Schizosaccharomyces pombe: one gene and its partner. Changing the gene in region 1 together with any one later gene gives a genetic interaction. Each region holds a gene or a part of one and is shown in the gene's direction. Other genes may lie near its edges. The genes, in order: chl1 and fml1.

Region 1 (6,185 bases):
TGTATGGTCATTTCCTTCCGAAATTTGTACAGGTCCAGGAGAAGCTACGTACACGGCGTCCCAGGGTGAACTAGGATCTCCCAATGAAGCAATTGCTGAGTAAAGGGCAGTGCCACTACTACGATGCTGAAACGTCCATTCGCGAGTATCTTTATTTAAGGCTGCTTTAAATTGAAAATTTCGAGAGACATTAACAATACGTTTATAAGCAGCTGATTGAGTATTTCCTTGCGCGCCTGAAGGCATTTCTAGAGCACTTAACTTCACCGAGGAGAAGTGACGAGAAATATAGAGAATAAAACCAATGAATCACTACAATAAGCTAGCAAAAAACTTTAAATCAATGTCGTTTGCGCTTGTTTAAGCAGATGATTAAACGTATAGAAAGTAGGAGACCGTACTATAAGCTCAATATTACATTGGACAGTGTACCCTAAATGACGGAAAATTCAAATGACCGAGAGAGGTAGTAAGACACCGAATTCACCGATATGAAAATGGAAATTCCCTGCGAATAACGAATATATGATGAATGAACCTTTTTACTAATGAATTATGAATAACTGATAAATGAGATGGTGTTCGTCATTGCCCAAGCTTTTGAAATGATGTGAAGACGCTAACACTGAGATGGTAGAACAAATCTGCGACTATGGCGCTGAAAATTCATTTCCATTAAAAGATTGGGGAGCTGAATACGTATCATTATTTCCATTTTTCCTTGTAGGCTTTGGACATGCCTGATAAGCATCGTTTAATGCAGGTAGAAGTGTATTTAAATTTTTACAAAAAGAGTTAATTGCATCACTAGCTTCTAACAAATGCTTATAATGATTATATACCAAAGATCTATGGTCGACAGAAAGCCCTTGAATCGAAGCAACCAAAGATTTATCACGCTGCAATAATTCGGCTGGTGTGGCTTTCTCCATAAATTTAGAAACGTAAGCATTTGAATCGAAATTTGGATCTGAGAACTCTGGATCAACTTTATCTAATGCTGTTTCTTCCACTGGCGAAACGGTATTAGAGCTAGACGGTTTTCGAGTTGTAGAAACAGTTGAAGATGAGCTATTTGAACCAGGTAGATTATAAAAGTCTCTTAAAGCTTGACGGCGTTTACTTGACATATTGTACAATTTACTTAACGACAGTGCTTAATAAATAATGAAATAAATGTATCTACAAGGCCAGCAACGAACAAAATACTGTTGCCGACAGAAAATGCTCTAGTGATAGAAATGAGTGAATAACGTACTCCTGTACATCTTTATATCATATATCGATGCTTCGAATATTTCTTTAAAACATTCTATTGCTTTGTTTCATATTGATAGTTTGATTAAAAAGTTTCGATACTTTTATTGCTGATCTGGTAGCAAAATCTCAACGCATTTTAAAAATGCATTTTCGCGGTATTGCGATTCTTTGGTAGATGACAAAAACAAGACTAACGATTGCACGCGTTAGAAAATTACATAACCATACTTCAGCTTCTTTTTCCATAGTTATTTCCATTAGTTATGATAATATTCGATAATACAGAGAGCGTCAAGCATATATATATTATTTAACCTTTGAGCGTTTGCTGTTCTTCTAAACTGAATTGTAGGCTTAGTGTTGAAAGAGAATTTAGCACTTTTAACAAAATCTCATTCTTTCTGTTAAACTAGAAATGCATATTTAATTTTCTTAAATTTAGTTTCCTCCCCTTAAAAGTAGTTGAATATTTGATTTAAATTTGCAAATATATTTTAACTTCAGTATACACTGAAACAGTTTTTTAACATACAGTAAACTTGCCTAACCTCGTGCAAAGCGGTTTCTTCTGTTCATTTTAACATTTTGTTGAAAAGTCTTCTTGTTATATAAATAGACAGTTTGACGGATGGAGTTTATGCAACAGTACTTCCTTCTTCAGAAACCAGCTTGCATATGATTTGGTAAATTCAATTAGTATCATCGCTACTCTCTTTTGTTGTACTGAAAAATCTAAGCTCAAACATACGCTTTCCCGTGTTTATAAGGTGTTATTTTATGCTTTATTAACTATTTTACAAGGGAACCTTACATTTGGCTCTGTAATGTGCAATTACTGTTATCAAAACTCGAAATAGTATACGAAAGATTTCCAGGTTTCTGAAAAGGTTGTTTTACCTTTAAAATGTGTCATTCGAAAGAAGTAAAATTTAAAACCAATTTTCATCACCCGTATACCCCATACGATATCCAACTAGAGTTCATGCGCAGTTTGTACTCTTCCATCAGCGATGGAAAGATTGGGATTTTTGAATCACCAACTGGAACGGGAAAAAGTTTGAGTTTAATCTGTGCTTCACTTACTTGGCTAGACGAACATGGAGGTGTTTTACTTGAGGATAATGAAAAATCTAATGACAATAAATCTAACACATCCTCAAAAATTCCAGATTGGGTTCTAGAGCAAGACTTGAAAATACAAAAGGATCTAGTAAAAGAAACACATGCACGGCTTGAACAGCGCCTTGAAGAAATTCGAAAGAGGAACCAAAGTCGCAAAAATCAAATGAGCAATAATTCAACTACATACCACAGGGAAACAAAAAGGAGGAACATAAACGCAGAAGCCTCAACCTCAGACAATTGTAATAATTCTAATACTTCGGTTGATCCGATGGACGAATATCTAGTTACAGCAGAATATACGATGCCATCGACTTCTGAACAATCTGAAGATTTATTTAATAACGGTTACAGTTCCAAAGTCTCTGAACTATTGCGAAAATTAAGTCCCGATAATGAAAAACCACCTATAGTTCAAAAGGTACGAATTTAGGTGCTTATAAGGAATATTCATTTAGTGGTAATATTTTTCTAACCTACTGCTAGATATATTTTACTTCTCGAACCCACTCTCAATTGCAACAGCTTGTTCAGGAAATTAAAAAGCTCAATAATCAAACCTTCTCAACGCCAATACGAGTAGTTTCTTTGGCTTCTCGTAAGAATCTTTGTATTAATAATGAAGTCCGGAAACTTCGACCAACGTCTGCTTTAAATGAAAAATGCATTGAGCTTCAAGGTACTTTAACAACTTCACTAGATTGAAAATTCAGTTTAATATTAACTTTTACATTTTAGGATCAGCTCACAAGTGTCCCTTTTTACAAGACAACACTCAATTATGGGACTTCCGGGATGAAGCACTTGCTGAAATAATGGATATTGAAGAACTCGTAGAATTGGGCCAGCGTTTAAAGGTCTGCCCTTATTACGGAACGAGGGAAGCAGTGGATTCAGCTCAAATTGTGACCCTACCTTATCCTTTATTGCTACAAGAATCAGCACGAAATGCGCTTAATTTGACTCTTAAAGACAATATATGTATAATTGACGAAGCTCATAACTTGATTGATGCAATCTGTTCCATGCATTCTTCTTCCATCTCGTTTAGACAAGTTTGTATTGCTGAAACTCAATTGCAACAATATTTTCTGCGGTTTGAAAAACGTCTGAATGGTAATAATAGAATGCATATAAAGCAATTGATCAAAGTTGTCTATAACCTAAAATCTTTTTTTTTAAATTGTCTAGAAACTAATACGAATTCAAAAGTGATCAATGTCGATTCTTTACTGGTATCAAATGGTGCGGATCAAATTAACTTGCACCATCTGTCTGAATACTTGAATGTTTCAAAACTAGCAAGAAAAGTCGATGGTTATACGAAATATATGCATTCATTGGGGACACAAGAATTGGAGTCTTTGAATGATCTTCGTAGTGAAAGATTTTCAAACGGCAATGGATATGAAGAGGATCCATACACACCGGTCCTAATGCAATTAGAATCTTTCTTACTGAATATCGCCAACCCTGCTCCTGAGGGGAAACTATTTTACGAAAAACAAACGGGGGACAATCCATATTTAAAATATTTGTTACTCGATCCATCCAAACATGTCGAGATATTGACCGAACAATGTCGTTCAGTGAATTTAGCTGGTGGCACCATGTCACCGATTGATGACTTTATAACCCTTTTATTTTCAGATGAACAATCTCGTATACTTCCATTTTCATGTGACCATATAGTTCCTCCTGAAAATATTACAACCATTCTAGTTTCTCAAGGTCCTGCAGGCGTCCCTTTTGAATTTACACATAAAAGAAAAGACGATGAGAATTTATTAAAAGATTTGGGAAGGACTTTTCAGAACTTCATTTCCATTATCCCAGATGGCGTCGTGGTTTTCTTTCCCAGTTTTGCATTTTTGCAGCAAGCTGTAAAAGTATGGGAAATGAATGGAATTACAAATCGTTTAAATGCAAAAAAACCATTATTTATTGAAAGTAAAGATTTTGGCGATAATCCTTTGGATACTTTTGAACACTATAAACAGTCCGTAGATGCAGGCTTGAGTGGAATGTTGTTTAGCGTGATAGGAGGAAGACTTTCAGAAGGAATCAACTTTTCAGATAAACTTGGCCGAGCCGTAATGGTGGTAGGAATGCCGTTCCCTAACTCGCAAGATGTGGAATGGCAAGCCAAGGTCTCATACGTAGAGGAAAAGGCCAAGGAGAAAGGCATAAATGCAAAACAAGCTTCACAGGAATTTTATGAAAATACCTGTATGCGAGCAGTAAATCAAAGTATAGGTCGAGCGATTCGACACCGAGATGATTATGCAAGTATAATTCTTTTGGATTCCAGATATAATCGATCAAGTATACAAAGGAAGTTACCAAACTGGTTAAGCAAAAACATCCATTCTAGCCCTAATTTCGGACCTGCTATACGGCAACTTGCTACTTTTTTCCGGGCTAAAAAGATGTGTGATTAGACATATGGTTTGCGTTACAGCGTCAACATAGGCTTATTTTAGAATTACGCTTCGCATATTGTAAATAGATTACTCTATAATTTTTAGAAAATACACCTCTCTCGTATTTACCGACTACTCAAATCATTACTCGTCAAAGGTATAAAAACAAGATCTATTTTGAACGTCAATTAAGACTGCACTAATGGTGTCGCAAATGAAGGTTGTTTAGGTAGAAAAAAACCAACTTGAGAAAAGTTACGACTTAGAGCAGGAAGAGGCCTCTGCCATGATATCCAAGCGTCACGCTAGGGACCGCTTAATTCAGTCCATCGAGCTGTAGATGATCCGTTTATTTACTAATTCAAAGTTAGAAGTCTGCAGGTCTGAGTAATATAATACAACACTTACGATCTAGCTCTCATCTTTCTTCTTTTACGTTTAAGGCGTCTCACGCGTTTCTTCCTCCACTTATCACGCATTGTGGTTATGGATGACTAGCAGACTAGGCAATATTTCATCTGTATAGCACATTGTGACTGCTCTTTTAAGAACACACAATACGGACGTAACACATTCAAAAGTACAGTCAAGTAACAGAATTACTCTAGTATGTCAAGGAACGAAATGTAAACATACAAAAAGTGGTTAATTACATATTTTATTTCAAATGATCCGTCAACGATAGTAAGTGATTTTTAAGTGCTTCCTTTTGCATATCTTTTTTGAAAGGTTCAGCTCTTCAAAATCAGATTTAATAATAATCCATTTAATGCTATATCATCCATTCATATTATCCTTTAATGACAACATACCTGATGTTGTTGTATACGACTTGCGATCTATTGTCAAACGCTGTGTAAACTTCAAGCATACTACATACTTTAGTTTGTAAACCGTATACAGAACAGGTATATCATAAACATTCTTTAAAGTCTAGTAAGTAGTCTACAGGGAAGGTGAAACGCATTTTTGTGCCATAGAATAGTATAAATTTATTCTTAGACATTGTAATTAGACTGCTATATAAGATACTGAAAGCATCCGGAACAAGTACTGTGTTTTTAAGTCGAACTGTTAAACTCCTTGACAATTTGAGCTACTTTAATCATCTATTAAAAACAAATTTTAAAATGCAACGTTAACCCTTTGGTACTAAAAGATACCATGTAAAAAATGTATAATCCAATAAATTTAAAGGATATGCTAGCAATGTATATGAATACCAATTGTGTATAACAGAATGGATTTAATATCTGTAAAAACTGAATGATACCTTTTTTAAAGTAAGAGATAGAGGTGGCTTTTTCTTTTGCGGCATTTGCCAAGCAAACAACACCACCCCAAATATTTAACGCAATCTCGCTCCACTGCACAAAGCAT
Region 2 (11,773 bases), 3.9 Mb from region 1:
CATATCTGCAATACTAACTCGATTTACCAGAGATTCCGGTTCGCCTGTAGGTTCAGCATCACGTCGTGACACAAATCTTCGATCAGCCTGCGTAACCAAATTTGACATTGCAGAATAACTATACTGTGATTGACCATAGTTTGGCTTCTCCTTACTATTTCCATGTTTGGGAGGCTCTTTCGAGTCCCCTTTAGGATGTGCACTCGACATGATTGTGAGTGGCGGAGGATAAACTGAATTTTCAATTTTCGTCTACTTCGAGGTATTAGAAGTGTTCATTTCTGTCAGCAATACTACACTACGCTATAATACACTACGTTGAGTATCACTATATGTCACATGTTCTAATTATATATCGTACCATGTATGATACGATATGGAGATTGATCTTAATGATAATCTATTAAGATCAATATTATCTGAATACTATAAATAGAGCTACTGCTGAACCTCGTTCCTCAGTTCAGTTATGAGCTATATTAGTGATAGGTAACATTATAACCCAGTTAATACAATACCTATACTCAGTTGCTACTTATACAACCTGTGTATTGTAATATAATAGATCACAAGGAAAGCTCACCGCAGTTCTACGTATCCTTAAATCAGATACCAAACTGCGTAGCTTACAATAACTGAACTCTTGTGATCTACAATTAACTCCTTTTAGGAAAAAGGAATTATTGAATAAATATATATCATAAATATATATATTTCTCTCCTTCTGGGTTCAAAGGAGAAAGAACTTTGGAAGGACTGTTATCCCTTTTGAAATCTCCCAAAGGGAAACATATACAATGTCCTACGCAAATTATCGTTATATGAAAGCAAGAGCAAAACGATGGAGACCAGAGAATTTGGATGGAATTCAAACATCAGACGAACATTTAATAAACCTTTTTGCAAAAATATTATCGAAGCATGTACCAGAGATAGGGAAATTCGATCCTAATAAGGATGTTGAAAGTTACATTTCAAAACTTGATCAACACTTTACTGAATACCCTTCATTATTCCCAAATGAGCATACTAAAAGACAGTATACATTGAATCACCTAGAAGAATTAGAGCAACAATTCGCTGAACGCATGTTTTCTGAGAATGGAAGTCTTACATGGCAAGAATTACTCAGACAAACAGGGAAAGTACAAGGATCCAACAAAGGTGATCGTTTAACTAAAACATTTGAAGGTTTTAGAAATCAATTGGACAAAGTTCAATTTATAAGGAAACTCATGTCAAAAGCAAATGTTGATGATTTCCATACTCGCTTGTTTATATTATGGATGCTGCCATATTCCTTAAGGAAATTAAAGGAAAGAAATTACTGGAAATCAGAAATCAGTGAAATTTATGACTTTTTAGAGGACAAAAGAACAGCCTCGTATGGTAAAACTCACAAGCGTTTTCAACTGCAAAATAAAAATCTAGGAAAAGAGTCCCTTTCAAAGAAAAATAACACCACTAATAGCAGAAACCTGAGGAAGACAAATGTTTCGAGAATAGAATACTCATCTAACAAATTCCTAAATCATACTAGGAAACGTTACGAAATGGTATTACAAGCTGAACTTCCAGACTTCAAGTGCTCAATACCCTGTCTAATCGATACGGGCGCTCAAGCAAATATTATAACAGAAGAAACTGTTCGAGCACATAAACTGCCTACCAGACCCTGGTCAAAAAGTGTGATATATGGTGGAGTTTATCCAAATAAGATTAATCGCAAAACAATAAAACTTAACATAAGTCTAAATGGAATATCAATCAAAACAGAATTCTTGGTTGTAAAGAAATTTTCGCATCCAGCTGCTATCTCCTTCACAACATTATATGACAATAACATTGAAATATCTAGCAGTAAACACACGCTCTCTCAAATGAACAAAGTTTCAAATATTGTCAAGGAACCTGAGTTACCAGATATCTATAAAGAATTCAAAGACATTACTGCAGAAACCAATACGGAAAAGCTACCAAAGCCAATAAAAGGGTTAGAATTTGAAGTTGAACTAACTCAAGAAAACTACAGATTACCTATCAGAAATTACCCGCTACCACCGGGAAAAATGCAAGCTATGAATGATGAAATTAATCAAGGATTAAAAAGTGGAATTATACGAGAATCTAAAGCCATTAACGCCTGTCCAGTAATGTTCGTTCCGAAAAAGGAAGGCACCTTGAGAATGGTGGTTGACTACAAACCTTTAAATAAGTATGTCAAACCCAATATATATCCGTTACCACTTATTGAACAATTACTTGCTAAAATACAAGGTTCTACAATTTTTACTAAACTTGACCTCAAAAGTGCCTATCACTTGATACGAGTAAGAAAAGGAGATGAACATAAACTTGCTTTTCGCTGTCCTCGTGGAGTTTTTGAATATCTAGTAATGCCTTATGGCATATCTACAGCTCCAGCACATTTTCAATACTTTATCAATACAATACTTGGTGAAGCCAAAGAATCACATGTAGTATGTTATATGGATGATATTTTAATTCATTCAAAATCGGAATCTGAACATGTAAAACATGTTAAAGACGTTCTACAGAAATTGAAAAATGCGAACTTAATTATCAATCAAGCAAAATGTGAATTTCACCAATCACAAGTAAAATTTATAGGGTATCACATTTCGGAAAAAGGATTTACGCCTTGTCAAGAAAATATAGACAAAGTCTTACAATGGAAGCAACCTAAGAATCGTAAAGAATTACGACAATTTCTAGGTTCTGTCAATTATCTTAGGAAATTCATTCCAAAGACATCACAATTAACACATCCACTCAATAATCTTTTGAAAAAGGATGTACGCTGGAAATGGACACCAACACAAACCCAAGCGATAGAAAACATTAAACAATGTTTAGTTTCTCCTCCGGTGCTACGACACTTTGATTTCAGTAAAAAGATTCTACTGGAAACTGATGCTTCAGATGTCGCTGTAGGAGCCGTATTGTCTCAAAAACATGATGATGATAAATACTATCCTGTTGGATACTATTCAGCAAAGATGTCTAAAGCACAATTAAATTATAGCGTATCGGACAAAGAAATGCTTGCAATCATTAAGTCTCTCAAACATTGGAGACACTATTTAGAATCCACTATCGAACCTTTCAAAATTTTAACAGACCATCGAAACTTAATTGGTCGCATTACTAACGAATCCGAGCCTGAAAACAAACGTTTAGCTCGTTGGCAATTATTTTTACAAGACTTCAACTTTGAAATTAACTACAGACCTGGATCAGCAAATCACATAGCTGATGCCTTATCCAGAATTGTTGACGAAACAGAACCAATTCCAAAAGATTCAGAAGACAATAGTATCAACTTTGTTAATCAAATCTCGATAACCGATGATTTTAAAAACCAAGTGGTTACAGAATATACGAATGATACAAAATTGTTGAATTTACTAAACAATGAAGACAAACGAGTGGAAGAGAATATCCAACTCAAAGATGGCTTACTAATTAACAGTAAAGACCAAATCTTATTACCTAATGATACTCAGCTGACTAGGACAATTATTAAAAAGTATCATGAAGAAGGTAAATTGATTCATCCAGGCATTGAACTTCTTACAAACATTATATTACGTAGATTTACGTGGAAAGGAATAAGAAAACAAATACAAGAATATGTACAGAACTGCCATACATGTCAAATAAACAAATCTAGGAATCATAAACCTTATGGACCTTTACAACCAATTCCCCCATCAGAAAGACCTTGGGAATCTTTATCAATGGATTTTATTACAGCTTTACCAGAATCATCTGGTTATAATGCACTTTTCGTGGTAGTTGACCGATTTTCAAAAATGGCAATCTTAGTACCTTGTACGAAATCCATTACAGCAGAGCAAACAGCTCGAATGTTTGATCAACGAGTTATTGCTTATTTCGGCAATCCAAAAGAAATCATTGCAGATAATGATCATATTTTTACTTCCCAAACGTGGAAAGATTTCGCACATAAATATAATTTCGTTATGAAATTTTCGTTACCATACAGACCACAAACTGATGGACAAACTGAGCGTACAAACCAAACTGTGGAGAAATTACTAAGATGTGTATGTAGCACACATCCAAATACATGGGTAGATCATATATCCCTAGTGCAACAATCTTACAACAATGCGATACATTCAGCAACTCAAATGACACCTTTTGAGATAGTACATCGCTATTCACCAGCTTTATCACCTTTAGAGTTACCTAGCTTTAGTGACAAAACTGACGAAAACTCTCAGGAAACGATCCAAGTATTTCAAACAGTTAAAGAACACTTGAATACAAACAACATAAAGATGAAAAAGTATTTCGATATGAAAATACAAGAAATTGAAGAATTTCAACCTGGAGACCTAGTTATGGTCAAAAGAACGAAAACAGGTTTTCTTCATAAATCCAATAAATTAGCACCTAGTTTTGCAGGACCGTTCTATGTGTTACAGAAGTCGGGTCCAAACAACTATGAATTGGATCTTCCAGATTCAATCAAGCACATGTTTTCATCTACTTTTCATGTTTCTCACCTAGAAAAGTATCGACATAATTCAGAACTCAATTACGCTACCATTGATGAGTCTGATATTGGAACAATTCTTCATATCCTAGAACATAAAAACAGAGAACAAGTACTCTACTTAAATGTCAAGTACATTTCGAATCTAAATCCGAGTACTATTATGTCAGGATGGACTACATTAGCTACAGCGCTACAAGCGGACAAAGCAATTGTCAATGATTATATTAAAAACAATAATCTAAATATCTGAGAACATATGACTTATCCTCAGATTTACATAGAAAATCTTGGGGAGGGCAATGTCAGCAATACTACACTACGCTATAATACACTACGTTGAGTATCACTATATGTCACATGTTCTAATTATATATCGTACCATGTATGATACGATATGGAGATTGATCTTAATGATAATCTATTAAGATCAATATTATCTGAATACTATAAATAGAGCTACTGCTGAACCTCGTTCCTCAGTTCAGTTATGAGCTATATTAGTGATAGGTAACATTATAACCCAGTTAATACAATACCTATACTCAGTTGCTACTTATACAACCTGTGTATTGTAATATAATAGATCACAAGGAAAACTCACCGCAGTTCTACGTATCCTTAAATCAGATACCAAACTGCGTAGCTTACAATTTCATAGAAGTATGACCTTTGAACAAAATCACTATTTCACTTAATGCAGTGCTTAAATTCTTTAATTTATACTTAGTGAATCAGTAAATTTAAAATACGTTAAATGGCTTTATGGAATTTCCAAAGGAACTCTTCGAAGAGGAAATTTCAAATTATGTGATAGATTAAAGATTATGGCTATTATTCGATAAATGAGTGTTTTTTTACTCACTTGATGTGTGATATGTTACCACAAACAAAGTCCAATTTTGAAGGTACAAACATCAGAAAGTCCTGAATTCTAGCAACATTAGTCTATGTACGGACACTTTTCAACTCGTTTTACTTCATCTAGCTAATCATTTTCTTTAATCTAAGAGCCATTACATGTCTTTCTGATAGGATTTGTTCGGCTATGCTTGTTATTTGTTTATCGTATAGAGAGCGACTTATAGTGAATATATACAAAAACCATTATGATGATATACGAATTCTATATCGGTTATTAGGTGCTTCCCTAATACAATACTACACCCGCGCAATAATTCGTTATAACAAATCGTTACTGAAAAGACATGGAATATACACATTGGCAATGTAATTTTAAACATAATTAACTTCATTACTTTCTCATGAAGTTAATTGTATCTTAAACCATTTGAGGGAAAAAACTTGTCCTTTACAATTACTTCCGACAATAAAGGACGCTTTGCAGTGAATGTCTTATGGAATTGTTGTATTTGACGACTGACGAAACGAAGTACCTTAGCAAAATTCGTTTTTAAGTAATTCCAGCTAAATTTTTGCTAACAATATAAATCATTGATAAGGATGTCCGATGATTCTTTTAGTAGTGATGAAGACTGGGACGAATTGGACACCCAAGTAGTTGATAAAATTGAGAATGAATATCATAATAACACGATAGGTTTAAATGGATACTCAGTTGATGAATATTTTGATGCCAACGATTCCAATAGATATCGTCTACAACACGAGTTAGATGAAAGTGCAGCACAGCAATGGGTATACCCTATAAACGTCTCCTTTCGAGATTATCAGTTTAATATTGTCCAAAAAGCTTTATTTGAAAATGTACTTGTAGCTTTGCCAACAGGTTTAGGTAAAACATTTATTGCAGCCGTTGTGATGATGAATTATCTTCGTTGGTTTCCAAAAAGTTACATTGTTTTCATGGCTCCTACTAAACCATTGGTTACACAACAAATGGAAGCTTGCTATAAAATCACTGGAATTCCAAAGAGTCAAACTGCTGAATTAAGTGGACACGTTCCTGTTACAACTCGAAATCAGTATTATCAAAGTCGAAATGTTTTCTTCGTAACTCCTCAAACCATTTTAAACGACATCAAGCATGGAATTTGCGATCGGACTCGTATATCTTGTTTAGTAATTGATGAAGCACATCGTAGTACTGGAAATTACGCTTATGTGGAAGTTGTTCATCTACTTTCTCTTAGCAACAAAAATTTCCGTATACTGGCTCTTAGTGCTACCCCCGGAAATAAGTTAGAAGCAATTCAGAATGTAATTGATTCTCTTCATATATCCAGGATTGAGATTAGAACTGAAAACAGCATTGATATATCGCAATACGTTCAGAAGAAAGAGGTGGATTTTTTTCCTGTAGATTTGTCTGCAGAGATTACAGATATAAGAGATCGATTTTCTTCTATATTGGAACCTATGCTTCAAAAATTGAACAAGGGTAATTATTATCGAATTCAGAATGCTAAAGACATAACTTCTTTCACTGTGGTTCAAGCTAAACAAGCTTTTCTTGCAATGTCTGGTCAAAACTTTCCTGCTAATCAAAAATGGGATATTTTAAATACTTTTGATGCATTAGCGACTTTTGCCTATCCTTTAAATTTGTTACTCAACCATGGTATCCGACCGTTTTATCAAAAATTGCGAGAGGTAGAAGAAGAATGCTTTGTAGGAAGATCAGGTTATAAGAAACGCATAATAAATCACGAAAATTATCGTCCTTTAATGGACGATATAGAAATTTTGTTGCGAGATCAGTCTTTTGTCGGACATCCCAAACTAGAGCATTTGGAACGTATTGTTACAGAATATTTTGAAAAAGAACAAACCAAGGATACCAGAATTATGATTTTTGTTGAAATCCGCTCTAGCGCCGAAGAGATTTTACGATTTTTGGGTAAATTTTATCCAAATGTGAGACCAGCTATTTTTATTGGACAATCTGCTGTGAGAAAGGCTGCTGGAATGTCTCAAAAATTACAGAATGAAGTATGTAATCTGAAAATGATGGATCCTTAACTAACTAATCTCTAGACTGTGAAACAATTTCAAAAAGGTGAAGTCAATACTTTAATAGCTACCTCTATTGGAGAAGAGGGTTTGGACATAGGTGAAGTAGACATGATCATATGTTACGATGCATCTGCTTCTCCTATAAGGATGTTACAAAGAATGGGCAGAACTGGGAGAAAAAGGAAAGGTTATATTTATATGCTTTTGACGCGAGGCAAAGAAGAAGCAAAATGGGAGAGAGCCAAAGACGCTTATCGAACTTTGCAAGATAATATTGTCAGTGGTCGCGGTCTCAGCCTATCGGAAAAAAGTTATAGAATTTTACCAGAAAAGTTTCGCCCGGTTTGTGATAAACGAGTCATAGAAATTCCCAAAGAAAATGAAGAAGTTGTAGTAGCTCCAAAGAAAGTGCAATTGAGAACGAAAATAAAAAAGAAATTTTTCATGCCAGAAAATGCCTTGAATGGATTTATTACTGCGTCCGCTTTAGGTAAACCGAAACGTGCTTTAGCCAAGTCTGAAGAATCACCGTTCGAGATATGTCCCGTTACATATAGCATTGAACAAGAAAAGAAACTGGAAAAATATAAGCGTGTTTGCTTAAGAGGTTTGGATATTCATAGAAATAGGAGGTTATCTCAATTGAGTGTTACAGGACGGATACCGCATTCTCTAGCTACGAAAAGTATACATTCATTTTTAAAGCATTTAAATACTATAGATTCGCAAAAGGCTCAGGAGTGGAGAAGAGAAATAAACAACCAATTCCAAGTATCAAATATCAACTCGACGGATCGTGACACAAAACAGCCAAAGATGCATGACTTTAGACAACCTTTACACCCAAATCCGTAAGTGTTTAAACTATTGAGTTGTTTAACGATAATTACAGATTATTAACATACAGGATGACAACTTTGAAAAGGAAAGGACAACATAATTCATTTTCTTACGACAAGTCTACACTGTTTTATGACAACAACAATAATTTAGAGGAAGACCTCCCGGATGTAAATATTTCTATATCTTCAAGGAATGAAGAAGCATCCAAGACAAAACCATTTGACGACCGACAACAACGCCTTCAGCAACTCGTAGAGAAAAGGAAACGTATGAAAGGAATGCTGATTTAGAGAATTAAATAGTGTTTAGAAATAGCCTACAACGTTTTCAATTTGTAGTCTAACTCAAAAAGATATTCGTAGCATTCCATTTGAGTTTTTGATTTTTCCCATGTTGCTCCCCAACCGATAACCCCATGTCCACGAATAAGAACAGCACATGTTTGTGGATAAAGCTCGATGACTTTTTTTAGTTCATCTAATATTGTTTTACTATCGCCATTGTGGATAACTACATAATCAGTATTCAGATACCAGTCAACACCAACAGAAAACACAACTTACTAGGAACCTCTAGAGTATCAAAACAGCAAAGATAGCCTGCTGAAGGATTTCCCTTTGGAATTCCTTTGATCATTTCCTTAGATTGTGTAGTAAATTTCTCATTATACATCGATGCTCCGACTGCAGCGACTGAAGTAGAATATATACAGGCTACTGCATCCATATTACTTTTGATGTGTTAAAAATTGCTGTAAATAGAAAAAATGATGCATACCTCAAAACCCATGAGAAAATGTAGGCCCAATTGACTAAATCCTTGGTGACTGACTGATTGCTGTATAAAAGGTTAGATACTAATTGGAGCTGATCCAAATGAATAATTTACCTTAAATTAAAGGTCACGATATCGTTTTCCGTTATGAAGTCTCTTTGAACCCTGTCCTTAACGCAAATTGCATAACCACTAAATGTTAACAAAATCGTTTGAATACCGTACAATTACTTGTTCTTTAGACAAAAGTTTCCACTAAATACCAATTAGCTTTAAAAAATTACTGAACATTAAACGTCTTGAACGCTACCTGCCAAATTTCATCCATCCAAGACTGTAAAAATGAGGAATAAGTTCAAGAATCAAATTTTTCTCTAATTGGAGACTCATTCTTCTAAAATTTTCAACTTTAACCTTTAAAAGTTCCCGTACTATACTCAGAAATGATTTATTTAATGATCGGTTCTTTCAGCAAAGTGAGTAGCGTTTCATAAGTTGCGTTTGCAAATTTGATATTAAAAAGTAATTGAAGGAAGACATATGTCACAAAACACTCTACACAATCATTCATTAAGCTTATAATACACGAAAACTTTTACTTTAAAGAAAAAACAATTTGAACAAATAACGAAATAAATTACCATCTAAAATTTTAAGTCATTGTAACCCACCTATTAGAGTAACCAGTTAAATAAGTTTTCAGGCCTATATATTCCAATACTGGGAAACCAAGGAAAGTAAGATGTTAGGAAAAAAGACTTATTTTTTGACAATCGTCACTACATCCTCATCCAACAGTACATGAGATAAACCAACACGCATGCCAGGATAAGGAACGCTTTTTCCCCAAACATAAGCATGTTTAAACTGGGATTTGATACTTGAATGAATATTGTTACACTAAAGAAGTTAGCAACACGAAGATCGGCAGAAGCAATTCGAAAACTTACAAAATCCTCGACAGTAGAATGGCCAGTACGAAGGATAACAGGTTCGCTGTAATCAGGTTCAAGACCTCTAGGGCGTGTATAGACTCTAACCAAATTCAAATAGTCCCACATCGTTTCTTTAAGTTCGTCAATGTTCCAACCCCTGTTACCACAAATGGGTACGGCGTTAGGAATACGATCAATCAAATCAAGTTCTTCAATAGAAATTGAATCAATTTTATTTAACACGTAAAGTGCCGGGATATAAACGCGATTTCCTTCCAAGACATCAATCAAATCATCAATGGTGGCATCACAACGAAAAGCAATGTCAGCAGAGTTAACACGATATTCGCTGCAAACAGCACGAATTTCGTCCAAATCAATATGAGTCAAGGGGACAGTATTGGTGATATTGATACCACCACGTTCTTTCTTTTTGAATACAATGTTGGGGGGTTCCTTATTTAATCTTATACCAAATCCTTCCAATTCCTCTTCAATAATACGCTTATGAGACATTGGTTTCAATACATCCAAAACAATAAATATAAGGTTGCAAGTACGTGCAACAGTAATAACTTGTTTACCACGACCACGACCATCTTTGGCACCCTCGATAATACCAGGCAAATCCAAAATTTGAATTTTTGCACCATTGTATTGCAAAACACCCGGAACCGTTGTTAAAGTTGTAAATTCATATGCAGCGGCTTCACTTCTCGTTCCTGTAAGCTGAGTCATGAGTGTACTTTTACCGACGGAGGGAAATCCAATGAAACCTACAGTACCAATACCGGTACGAGCAACATCGAAACCAACTAAGAAAGATTAGTACTCCAAACAAAAATTTGACGTTCAGTACATACGCCCTCCACCACCTCCTCCACCGGTAGGGGTGATCAATTCACGTTTCAATTTTGCAAGCTTGGCCTTTAACATTCCCAAGTGCTTAGCCGTAGCTTTATTTTTTTGGGTTTTGGCCATTTCATCTTCAACTTCTTTTATTTTTTGCGCCGTAGTCGCCATTTTGTTTTTTTATTATATATGAAAATGCTATGAAAATGGTGAAAAGAAAATTCTATAACTAAGTACGTATAAGATCTTTTGCATTATTGAGTGCTAAGCAACCCTCTTTATTTTATATTAGTGTATTAAACCACATTACAACAGCCAAACTATTATTAAGATACCAGGTAGAATATCACGTTGGATCTCGATATTTGTTCCTTGTTGTAAGTAAATAAAAAAATATGTGAAATATTGAATCCAGTTATTCAATAGAATTTCATAAATAAATCTTTTTTCTTTTGCGTGTCTTTTTTTATGCGTTAGATCAATATAAAATATGTATGTATATAAAAAGTTGATAATTTTGTTTTGTTTTTCTTACACAATTTTAATGCAAATATTAAATAAATAAGATTGCAAAAAAGTAGTTGCTGATTGCGCAAAAGCTTGGATTAACAGTATTTTTTGATAAATAAAAAAAGAAATAAATAAATTTAGTATGTTCTAAGTCAACGGCAAATGAATTATTATTCAGGGGTTGAAGATAATGTCAGTTAACAAGGTTAATTATCGGGTCAGGGTAATAATTAAAAATTAAATAAATAAAAAATATCTGCGGCTGTTGCGTATAAACAGTAGACGGATGAGCAATTATCCCCAATAGCCTAAATACAAAATATAAGAACACATAGTAGAAACTACAAAAACATTTTTACCGGCAACAATAACCTCG

The links.
Region 2: mutations in chl1 (region 1) and fml1 impair growth when combined (synthetic growth defect), as found in Schizosaccharomyces pombe (one study listed by BioGRID).

Annotation. Positions count from the first base shown.
Region 1 is NC_003424.3:5,396,950-5,403,134, forward strand, and holds chl1 (ATP-dependent DNA helicase Chl1), read left to right. Parts: upstream 1-1,795; 5' UTR 1,796-2,164; coding exon 2,165-2,803; intron 2,804-2,868; coding exon 2,869-3,061; intron 3,062-3,120; coding exon 3,121-4,823; 3' UTR 4,824-5,154; coding exon of another isoform or gene 5,155-5,161; 3' UTR 5,162-5,213; coding exon of another isoform or gene 5,214-5,284; 3' UTR 5,285-5,461; downstream 5,462-6,185. Other genes in the region: trehalose-phosphate synthase Tps2, read right to left, coding at 1-246; GARP complex subunit Vps51, read right to left, coding at 651-1,130; rpl4101 (60S ribosomal protein L41), read right to left, coding at 5,155-5,161, 5,214-5,284. UniProt on the Schizosaccharomyces pombe protein: ATP-dependent DNA helicase important for chromosome transmission and normal cell cycle progression in G(2)/M.
Region 2 is NC_003424.3:1,465,050-1,476,822, forward strand, and holds fml1 (ATP-dependent 3' to 5' DNA helicase), read left to right. Parts: upstream 1-5,784; 5' UTR 5,785-6,010; coding exon 6,011-7,459; intron 7,460-7,504; coding exon 7,505-8,334; exon of another isoform or gene 8,335-8,390; coding exon 8,391-8,616; 3' UTR 8,617-8,642; coding exon of another isoform or gene 8,643-8,836; 3' UTR 8,837-8,889; coding exon of another isoform or gene 8,890-9,056; 3' UTR 9,057-9,103; coding exon of another isoform or gene 9,104-9,163; 3' UTR 9,164-9,214; coding exon of another isoform or gene 9,215-9,292; 3' UTR 9,293-9,331; coding exon of another isoform or gene 9,332-9,355; 3' UTR 9,356-9,410; coding exon of another isoform or gene 9,411-9,490; 3' UTR 9,491-9,859; coding exon of another isoform or gene 9,860-10,000; 3' UTR 10,001-10,050; coding exon of another isoform or gene 10,051-10,850; 3' UTR 10,851-10,898; coding exon of another isoform or gene 10,899-11,058; 3' UTR 11,059-11,226; downstream 11,227-11,773. Other genes in the region: U5 snRNP complex subunit Brr2, read right to left, coding at 1-210; Tf2-1 (retrotransposable element/transposon Tf2-type), read left to right, coding at 798-4,799; SPOM_SPAC9.06C (5'-methylthioribulose-1-phosphate dehydratase), read right to left, coding at 8,643-8,836, 8,890-9,056, 9,104-9,163, 9,215-9,292, 9,332-9,355, 9,411-9,490; SPOM_SPAC9.07C (GTPase Rbg1), read right to left, coding at 9,860-10,000, 10,051-10,850, 10,899-11,058. UniProt on the Schizosaccharomyces pombe protein: ATP-dependent DNA helicase involved in DNA damage repair by homologous recombination and in genome maintenance. Capable of unwinding D-loops. Plays a role in limiting crossover recombination during mitotic DNA double-strand break (DSB) repair.